2 linked regions of the Arabidopsis thaliana genome follow. The protein of the gene in region 2 purifies or fractionates together with the protein of the main gene of each other region. This does not show direct contact. Each region holds a gene or a part of one and is shown on either strand. Other genes may lie near its edges. The genes, in order: UFD1 and PI4K GAMMA 7.

Region 1 (5,164 bases), 7.9 Mb from region 2:
GGTAACAACATACATACTTGTCCTCTATGTTACCTTTTAAGAATAGGTCAAGGGAAGCATAATGCTATTGGTGCTGGTTGTTGGCAGGAGTTATTAATGGGACTGCGCCGAATCCGGTTAGGCTTGGGGAAATGTGCCAGCAGCTAGGCAGTGTTCTTAGCCGACCATCGTGGCTACCAGTTCCTGACTTTGCACTCAAAGCTTTGCTCGGAGAAGGTGCCACTGTAGTTCTGGAGGGACAGAAGGTATTACCTGTAAGAGCCAAAGAGCTTGGTTTTGAATTCAAGTATAAATACGTGAAGGATGCACTCAGAGCCATTATGCAATAAGGTGACACACATAAGCATCTTTGTAAAATTGGTTTTGATCACAGAAAATCCCCAGAAAAACAAGATATTCTTTTCTTTTCGTCTCTATATCTTTCTTTTTGAGTAAAACTCGAGAAATGTATTTATGGTAAAAAGTGTTTTCGGTGTTATCTCAGAAACCAGAGATCACAGATGTGTTGAGGATATTATAACTCAGACATAGCATCTTTCTCATCTATGTTCTTTGGTCATTGGTTCATTGGTAAAGAGCTACAGAGCATGGCTTGCTATTCATGAACACATTATGTTAGTGAGGTGCTCAGAATCTTATATCCTACAGTAAGAATATAAAAGAGCAGAGAATTGTAGAAAGTTGCATTGAATCTGATAAAGAAAACAAGCCGCGTCAAGAGGAGCCAGAGATTTATTCACTTATTTGTTTTCCTTGTATTTTTAGTACACAACATGAGAGGTCATAAATAGACTGAGTAGACCCATTGTGTGAGTTGATCAACCCCTCAATGAATACTTCTTCCCAGAGAAAGCTTGAAACTTGGGCTCGTCTTTCTTCTCTTGTTCCTCTTTCTTTGTCTCTTTTGCAGCTCCAACCTGAAAAAAAAAATTAAGAGATGAACAATCATATGCATTTGTCTCTCAATTCCATTACAGTTTTTGTTTTGTCAATTATCAATAAACTCTGAATGCGTACTTTCGGAGCAGCTTCTTTTGGAGCACGGTTTCCGTTAGCCCCAAATACAAGCTTTCCCTGAGCTCGTGTAGCTTTCTCTGAGCTACTTGCTACAGATGACTGTCCATTACCATTAGCGACAACAGGTTGTTTGCCTTTTGAGCTAGAGGCTGGCGCTGGCTCATAGGCAAGAGGTCTCCCATCTAACCGTCTTCCAGATCCGGTGAAAGGGTTGAACTTTGGTTCAGGTTCATCCACAACCTCCTCAGCTGTGAAATTTGGAAAGAAAAGAACACATGAGAATCTAACAACTTGAAGCTGATAGTAAGTCCATCTGATGATTTCATGTCCATGGATAGATACCTTTTGCCGGACCCTTAGCTGCAGAAGGTGCTGTGGGACGTTCAGGCTCCTTGTAATCGAGGGGAGGTGCGAAATCAACCTCACAGTCTGTTTCTATGATGCTGATTGCGTTAGCAGGCTTTGTTTCAACTATATCTATGAAGTACTTCTTATTGTTGTATGGAACCATAATGCTATCCCCACTAGTTAGGCATGAATAATTTCTCAAAGCAGTCTCCAAGCTGCAACGTTCACTCAATTATCAGTAAAGAATATTGGGAACAAGATAAAAAGAGTGACATCAAACAACTACGAGCCAGAAAACGGGAAGAACTTAGATATAATAATACATTCTCTAAGCAATAAACAACATGATGTGGGAAAGTATATGAGGGCTCAAATACAAGAGGGTAGAAATAAGTCGGACTCACATGGCTTTCGGGTTGGATATATCCAGGAAGTCTGTTGTGTGGGGCTGTAGTTTAACGTAAGTTCCCTTTGGAAGAGTGACATTTCTAACTCTCACAATGTCTCCTTCTTGCAGCAGCAGATTCTGCATCATCTGGATTATATCAAAGAAGCAAACAATCAGTCTGGTAAGTCCACATGATCCAGAGTACTTCGATTCACAAACAAAGAGGAAACTGATTCTTACCCAATATGGCATGTAAATCATGCCTTCTTCTGCAATGAACTCAAGGACTCCACAGTGTGTAACACGTTCAATTCCAGCATTACGAAGCTCAAACAGCATCGGATAGTCAATATGCAAAGAGGCTGTAAAGTCCCCAATATTAGCGATTTGATATGTTTCTAAGTTAAACAAATATTAGACCAAATCCAAAAGAGAAAACCAGTAGGAGCATACCTAGACGATCAAGGGCTGATGGTGGCATTATAACTGAAATAGAATTAACACAAATTAAAACCTCAGGCTTGAACAATACAGATGGAAACAAACATTGGTGTCTAGATAGAAGACTTACTCTTGTCACCACTTTCAAGTTGTGGCTGCAGGGAAGAGAAAAGGAAATAGAAATTAGATACTAGATCTCAGCTTTCTTATAGAACTTACTTAGTAGAACATGACAACGACTAAGATTCTAACATTACAAAAGAGCACTCTCAGATTCACTTATCAGGGAATTAAACTAAAAGTAGAGAGATGAAATCAAACCTTGTCGATAAAAGATGCCGGATAACACCGGTAACTCTGCTCAAAGGTTGTTCCATGATAATGGTATCCATCGAAAAACTGCATCGAGTTTAAATTCCAAAGGTTTAGACAAACAAACCAAGGGTGCGAGATATAAAAGCTAGAGTGAAGACTAACGGTTAAAAAGGAAAGCTTTGAATACACTTACCATAGTTATTGGTGGTAGTAGACTAACAGAGTAAGTTAACAAATGGCAACCTACAGAAAAAGAAACCTCACACAAGTCAATTACAAGAGATCCAAATCATAAAAGAGAAAAAGAGGGCACTCTTTAATTTAAGGGTTTCAATAATCAATTGTGGCCAACAATTCCGACCGGAAGGAACATCAAAGTTAGTGACTTTAACAGATAACTAAACAAGCTATTATCAAAAACCTAAGACCTCAATTTCGAATCTCAGCAGAAGAATAGAAACCTACAAAATCGAAGAACCATCTACAACTTGCAAAATCCCACCTTTTGAAACAAACCCAAGTAAGATCCTTGGAAACCTATTCCTAAACAATTCACCGGAAATCCCCAGAACAGAAGATTCCGATCAAAAGTTGAGAGTGGGATCGATACAAACAATACCAAAGCTAAAAACTTTACAAAATTAAAAGCTCGTCTTGAGATTATCAGAGAAGAATAAGAACTCAGAAACCACCGATTGAGCTGCCCGACCAATAAAATTACCTTTAGGAAGTAATTGATTCCAGACACAACCCAAGTAAAGATGCAAACTTTGAGGACCTGTGATAACGTTGCTTGTATATATATATACCCATACGGTGCGTATTGATTCATGTCTTTGTAAAACAGTTTGGGCTTCACAAAAAACGGTACTAGCCCATTGGGCCTCGAATAGTGAGGAATCATGACCACTTTATATTGACGTGTGCGTTACCAACTTACCATACTGGGAAACTCTCAATTCTGAGCAGATATCTACCCAATCACGGATTGAGGAGAGAAGCAAGAAGAAGAAATGGAGATTACACTGAACAGTGGCTTCAAAATGCCGATCATCGGCTTAGGAGTTTGGAGAATGGAGAAAGAAGAGCTTCGAGACCTTATCATCGATGCCATCAAGATCGGTTATCGTCATCTCGACTGTGCTGGTATAACTTAACACTGCTTAAAACCTTTTCTTTCTGATCTTTGTTGCTTCGGGTTTGTCAGGATATGTGAATAAAATATTAGGTTTTGTTTTAATTTGTTGAAAGTTGGAATCTTACTTGGAAATTATGTCTTAAGATTTGGGTTTTTAAGTATTTGGAAATTTGGAATCGTAGAATGATCTTAAGTCTTTGCTGTATCACAGACAATTGTTTTTGTTTCTTTGCATGTGAGTGAGTTGCTTTGTTCTGTATCCTGATTTATGAGTATCTTTTGGGGTTACTTGGTTCAGCTAATTATAAGAACGAAGCTGAAGTTGGTGAGGCTCTTACAGAAGCATTCACGACAGGTCTTGTCAAGAGGGAGGATCTCTTCATTACGACTAAGGTCCAAACGGCTTTAAGTTAAACTACTACATACCTTTGATATCAGTTCATTTCAGATCGAATGCTCTCTGTCTTGGTTTTGCAGCTATGGAGTTCAGACCATGGCCATGTTATTGAGGCATGCAAAGACAGTCTCAAGAAACTTCAACTTGATTACCTCGACCTTTTCCTCGTTCATATACCCATAGCTACAAAACACACGGGTTAGGCTTCAGCCTTGTTCATGAATATTATCAGTTTCGAGTAGAGACCATTGCATTTCAGCCTTGTTACTGGCTGGAAAATTAAGTTTTCTCAAGTCTCTAGCAATTGGCACACAGAGTAATAAGCTGTAACATGTAAGCCTTGTGCAGGAATAGGAACAACCGATAGTGCTTTGGGGGATGATGGGGTATTGGACATAGATACAACAATCTCTCTGGAAACTACATGGCACGACATGGAAAAGCTTGTTTCTATGGGTTTAGTCCGCAGCATTGGAATCAGGTTCAACTTCTCTCACTATCATTACAAGTTCTCTTGTTTAGTCGCCAATATATGAATTATTTGACCATTAGGTTTTTTGCAGTAACTATGATGTCTTTCTAACGAGAGATTGCTTGGCTTACTCCAAGATCAAACCTGCTGTGAATCAGATCGAGACACATCCTTACTTCCAACGCGATTCTCTAGTCAAATTCTGCCAGAAACATGGTATCTGTGTCACTGCTCATACTCCTCTGGGAGGTGCCACAGCCAATGCCGAATGGTTTGGCACCGTGTCATGTCTGGATGACCCAGTTCTCAAAGTAAGCCCCATCCTCTAAACCTTAAAAGTTTGGACTGAAACAGTTAAATAATTAAACCTTTTGTCTGTCTGAATTCATAGGATGTGGCCGAGAAGTACAAACAGACAGTGGCACAGATTGTCCTGAGGTGGGGAATTCAGAGGAACACGGTGGTGATACCAAAGACATCGAAGCCTGAAAGATTGGAAGAGAATTTTCAGGTTTTCGACTTCCAACTATCGAAAGAGGACATGGAAGTGATCAAAAGCATGGAGAGGAATTACCGCACGCACCAAACAGCCAAGTTTTGGGGCATTGAGCTCTACGCTTGATCACACACACACTCTCTCTCTCTATC
Region 2 (5,834 bases):
TGTCAAAACTAATATTTTCGAAATGTTTTTTTTACGTTAAGAGCACATAGTGAATGTATATATTTTTTTTCTTACAAGGTAAAAAGAAGATTGTCGAATAATGCTCAAAACATTTAAAGTTGTTGAATGCGAAAAGCTTCGAAGCAATACCCTACATACATAAAACTCATCAAGGAAAGAAAAAGGTTGAATTTAGAACATTTCAAATATAATAGGTACGGAAACCAATCATATGAATTTTATTGTAAACAAAACATATACCACCATCGAAACAATCAAACGATACGATTATATTGTATGTAGTAACTGATTTCTTGTAAATTATTATATTGATCCATGGCTGATTTCAAATATGAAAAAAAAAAAAATTGACCGAAGAATTCAAAACTTCATATGTAAAATAGTGTTGTTGCCTCTTGGATAGTACACATTATTACATATAGAAGTACAAGTACTATTACACACGAAAAAAAAAATACATCAAAGGAATGTTACGTTAAATTGATGTTGTCTTGTCGAAAGGACGGATATAAAAATGATAACCCCTTACCCACAAATGGGGTCCCATTCAATATCATCGTTTTGTTGCGTCGAAATTTGGTATGATTCTTTGAACTTTTTTGACAACTTTGTACATAACCTGATGATATGATAAAATGGATAATGGAGAAAATGGGTCGTCGATGCCCATATCGCTTTCTTTGCAGCTGTCTTTGGGACCATCACGCTTACGCTTTACCACTTTCTCTTGTCTCTCTTTGTAACACCTATCAAACCTATGGGACAAGGCCAAGCCACTAGGACATTTAAACTATGAATGGTGAAAAATGCAGTGTGTGACGGTTAGGTGATACAACCGCAACATACATATCTAAACATCGGTGTGATACTTTTATGCGGATACTGAATCATACATCAAACGGTCCACTATATATGTCTGGGTTTCATTGTATGAACAATGAACGACCACACCAAAAAGTGAAAGAAGACTAATATTATTTATGGGACAAGGCCAAGCCACAAGGACATACCAAAGAAAAAAACAAGAGAAGGTGATAAAAGGGGCAAAAAAAAAACCAAACAAACAAACAAAGAAGATCACAAAGAGTAGTAAAAGAAATATTTACAAAACAGTTAAAAAAACAAACAAACAAAACCCCTTTTCTTCACCTCGTCGCTTGTCATAAGCCAAACCTTCCAAAAGTAACTACTAGTTTTTTACTACCATAGAACTGAAGAAGAAGTCTTCAGTTTTTTACTCCATACTGTCTCTTTTAACTTCTCGAGTTTTACTTTTTACTATACGACTCTCAAAACTGGCATGAAGTGCCAAGTCTCTGTCTCTTACTCAACGTTGCGGTTTTGCGTTTTGCGAAAGCCGGTCCAAGTAACTCTTGGAACCTCTCGAGGAAGAGAACCCACTCGTCTTCTTTCATGTCTGCTACTTTCACAAAGCTTGCACTCACTGGAAGCTGTTCGTTTGCGCTTTTGTGACCAGACGATGTGTTCTCGGATTTGCCTCTGGTTAAGGGTTTTGGGTTTTTACGTGTCGTGTCACTAAGATGTGTGTTCTTCATTGAAGTGGAAAGCTTTGAAAGAGATGGAGCCTTGTCATGAAAAGCAGCTGAACTAAAAAAACTGTCTTTCATAATGATCATAGGGACAGTATTTTCAGTTTTGTCCTCTTCTTCTTCTTCATCTTCTTCTTCTTCCTTGATGCTTTCTTCAAGCTTCCCGAGCGAAGAACGTCCATTTGAAAAAGGGTTTTTGGTGAAATAGTCATCGGTTAGTTGTATCTTAGAACTGTAGACTGACTCCAAATCATCACAGTCTAGATCAAACTGAAACTCTGCTTCTCCTACTACATCTGACCTTGGAGAGAAAACATCTCGTTCAGTGACTGATCTCTTGGCTTCAATACACACAACCTCCAGTTCACTTGGCTCCTCTTCTCCAGGACGAAATTCCCGAGTCATCATCTCGCCAATCTCGGCAAGACACAGACCATATGCAGAAGCTTCTTTAAGGAAAATAGTACAGAGAACAAGAACCCGAAGACACGCCTCTCTAATCATTGGAAGTTCCCTTCTAAGCATGTCACAGTCTTTCACTGGATCAAGACTTTGTATGTAGTCAACCTCTTCATCAGAGAATGGTAATGATGCCTGAGGCCAATGAATCCACTCAAAATAAGGATCCTCAAGTGTTTCTGGCAGGCAGAGGCCATGGTCTATTGGAATAAGCTCCACTTGACCAAACATACCAACTCCATCGAGCTTCTTCACCAAAAGATTCCCACCATGACGGTCTGTGTTGAAGATCCTTATGTCCAAAATACCAATGCGGTGCACAGAAGTTACAGGGAAGCTTGAAGTACCATGATCACTTGCATCGAAATCATGAGCCACAAACTTCTGGAAAGAAGCAATCTTACTAACCAGCTTCTTCTCCCGAGGCTTGTTCCCCTTCACCCCATCGTTGACATTGAATACAGAATGAGTTATCTTCACAAGAGCAGTTGGAGGGACATTAGCAAAGCGACCATAATCAAGAAGATAAGCAGCAACTTCTCTAAACCCCGTTTCCCCAACTCGCACCGAAGACTTCAATCCAGGTTGCCCAAGGGCTTTCCCAACAAAGCCTTTAGGGTTGTTAGGTGCAAACGGCTCTTCATCCGTCGGCTTGACAATGGCAACACTCTCACCCCTTTTGTTCCTAAAATAGTAAGCACCTCCAAGCCCGCTATGAACAGGAAGCGGTTCAACACCCATCTTCATCGCCTTAACAATGTCCTTAACCATATGTTTAACAATCGAAAAGCAATCCGAATGGCCTAGTATCTCAATAGGACCACTTCGATCTTTCTGTTGCAAATCCCTCCCAGTAGGCGAAAGACAAGGAGTAGACGAGCTTCGATGCATAAAGTTCCGTTTCAGCAGAAGCGGAGAATCGTTCCTCACAGCACTCAAATCATTCGTCAACACCATATCACCATAAGTCAAAGAACTCTCTTCAGTAGGGAAATTAAGAGCAATCTGAAGCCTCCTTTTAACAGTATGAACATTATCACTACGATCCAACTCCATCCCCAAAACACAACCAGTTTCAGTCTGCACGAAAACTCTCCTCCCCGATGATTGCCTCTGTAAATGCTGATGCTTATGATGCTGCTTCCCTTCCATCTTACTAGCTCCAGTAAGAGGAGTCTTGAAAACTGCCACTGCCATTTGTGTCTGAACAGGACTGTCTAAGTTCCTCGACATGAAACAGAAGAAGAAACCAAAAAAGGCTTCTTTTGGTGAACAGAAGAAGCAGTAGCCGAAGAAAGACCTTCTAGACCAGTGCCTAAATCTGAAACCAACACGAGCCGGATATAACAGATACCTAAACCGATCATGAAACGTAGAGAACCACACACACAAGCTTCTTCTATACACAGATAACAGTAGCCACTAATAATAAAAACTCGAGCTTTGTGAATGAATTTGATCCCAATTACTACATCAGGTAAGCCATGATGATTGAACAAATCTGCAAAAGAAAAAAACAGATCTTAAATCTCACTAATCCATCAAATTAAGATCTTGATCGATTCCAGAAATTGAAGAGAAACAAAACTAAGAACAAATCAATGAGCTTTATAGAAAAAGCGTGAAACTCACCGGAAAAGAAGCGAGATCTGAAAAATCAAAACTCAGAAGAAACAATCGTGGAGACGAATTTGGTTTCAATATAAAGACATCATCATCATCATCGTCGTCTTCAAAAGCACAGAAACGCACATGGAAGAGAGGAGAATCTTGAAGAAGAGGCAAGGAATCTGAAGGAGAAGAAGAGAATGAAAAAGAAGAAACTTTCAGTGAAGGAACCACTCTCTGATCCCTAGCCGCCTCTTTTGCTTGCTCTCTGTGTGTGTGTGTGTTGTGTTGTCTCCTTCGTTGATTCACCTCTCAAAGGAACGCTTTTTAACTCTGATCTGAGTCCTCTGGTTAAATCTCTTAACCATGGTTTATTTTCAGCGAACTTGTTTGTTATTGGATTAAATTCTAAAATCTATCCTTATGACACGTCATCGTATTATTTATTATTCCTATAGTTGTTTTTTAGATAACCCTGTTTAATTTTGTTTTCTTTCATTTATTAAACCGGCTAGATTATGATTTTGGTTAAGAATTTTGTAATCGAATCTACTATTTTTATATTTTGGGAAATAAAAAATCTATTTTGAAATGTTATTTTGTCTTCTTCTTTACTACAATTTAAATTATTTCCTCATTTCTTTCGTTATTATTTAATACCTTTGCAGTGGAAATTATAATTGCTCTATTTGCCATTTCATATTTTCTTTGGTTTGAAGTTTTTATTCATTTTATATTATTTTTATCAATAATAATATGAAACTGATAAATCTATGACAAGTGTGAAGCTTTAGTTCCATAGAAGTTTTCTTCAGTTTTTAGTACCTTTTTTTTGTCCACGATTTCGATTATTATATTATTTATTGAATTATGTATAGTTTAGAAAATAACTAAACATTACTTGGAATATAATTATTACACATAATTCAAGGTTACAAAATAATGTGAAATCTATTAATTTATAGTTCATGTTCCCTTAGATATTTTCTATATGAATCACTACGGCAAAGACGTGCGATCTCACCAATAAAGAGTTGAAAAAAATGAAAATATATACCCATTTTATCATAAAGAAAACATTAAAGTTTGTAACATTAAGCGTAAAAAAATAGCATAGTAAATAGAGGCATAAATTGACATATGTAGCGTAAAGTCTCGAAGTAAATAGAGGCATATATTGACAGGTAAAATAGTAAAAAAGAACATGCATCATCGTCCCCATCTTTGGAAGAGTCTAGAACAGGCAAAGAGAACCGTTCGATTATAGATTCTTATGGAATCTTGACCGTCCGATCTGGAAGTGGTACGTGGCAAAGGATGAGAATGCCGACTTGGTTTTAATAGGATGTAGCGATGACATGAAGCTACAAATTGGGCCTTAACAATTTAAAAGCCCATAATTAAAATGAAGTTAAAATTAGCTAGTGACAAGTTAATTAATTACAAATCATAGTTCATATTGTACAAATGATTAGAAATACATTCGACACAAGAAATACACCGACAAGGATATAATTATAAGATAAATTAGCTAAATTTATTTATGTTTACAAAAGATATGATTTTACATATGATTTTTTAAAAATATTTATAACCTTAGTAATACCTGACCAAAAATACTTTGAAATAAGTAAAAATAATAATTATCTAATATTTTTAAAATAATTAGATTAATTAAGATAAAAATATGTATTTTGGGTTAAAAATAAAATAAGAATATTGATAAATCATATCTTAACTTGTTTAAAAGATAACTGAAGAATTAACAATGAATATATATGTAATTATAAAAGTCATAAAAAATAATTTCAATATAATTATGAAGTCCATTAGGTATCGAATGAATAAAGCGACTACGATGGCACTTTTAAGTCCACATGAGTAATAGTGAATCATAATATATAATGAGATTAAACCACTTTGGACATAAAAGATCTTGTCTCCATAATGCACAATTCAGCTTTGAACACTTTTTGACTATTATACTGATTTTTATTTCAGAAAAATAAAGAGAGATTAAGCATAAATTATGATACATGATCCATATCCATGTGCAGCAAGTGTCTTCCCATTAACTCAACTGCTATACATTTATAGGAAACAATTAAATACATGTTATTCTGAAGAAACTCTTTTTTATCACAAATTACTAAATTAGTGAGTCTCCATACTCCAATGACCAATTTTATCATACAT

What was found.
Region 1: the proteins of PI4K GAMMA 7 (region 2) and UFD1 purify together in Arabidopsis thaliana (affinity purification with mass spectrometry, with the first as the bait; one study listed by BioGRID). This does not show direct contact.

What each region holds. Positions count from the first base shown.
Region 1 is NC_003071.7:9,105,667-9,110,830, reverse strand, and holds UFD1 (ubiquitin fusion degradation 1), read right to left. Parts: upstream 3,266-5,164; 5' UTR 2,991-3,265; coding exon 2,975-2,990; exon of another isoform or gene 2,753-2,974; coding exon 2,703-2,752; intron 2,594-2,702; coding exon 2,516-2,593; intron 2,350-2,515; coding exon 2,325-2,349; intron 2,240-2,324; coding exon 2,207-2,239; intron 2,116-2,206; coding exon 1,994-2,115; intron 1,901-1,993; coding exon 1,770-1,900; intron 1,581-1,769; coding exon 1,360-1,580; intron 1,266-1,359; coding exon 1,018-1,265; intron 918-1,017; coding exon 819-917; 3' UTR 570-818; downstream 1-569. Other genes in the region: SULA (NAD(P)-binding Rossmann-fold superfamily protein), read left to right, coding at 1-1, 88-329; AT2G21260 (NAD(P)-linked oxidoreductase superfamily protein), read left to right, coding at 3,523-3,655, 3,946-4,040, 4,125-4,242, 4,393-4,525, 4,608-4,827, 4,908-5,138.
Region 2 is NC_003071.7:1,183,628-1,189,461, reverse strand, and holds PI4K GAMMA 7 (phosphoinositide 4-kinase gamma 7), read right to left. Parts: upstream 4,005-5,834; 5' UTR 3,663-4,004; intron 3,532-3,662; 5' UTR 3,264-3,531; coding exon 1,311-3,263; 3' UTR 781-1,310; downstream 1-780. UniProt on the Arabidopsis thaliana protein: The phosphorylation of phosphatidylinositol (PI) to PI4P is the first committed step in the generation of phosphatidylinositol 4,5-bisphosphate (PIP2), a precursor of the second messenger inositol 1,4,5-trisphosphate (InsP3).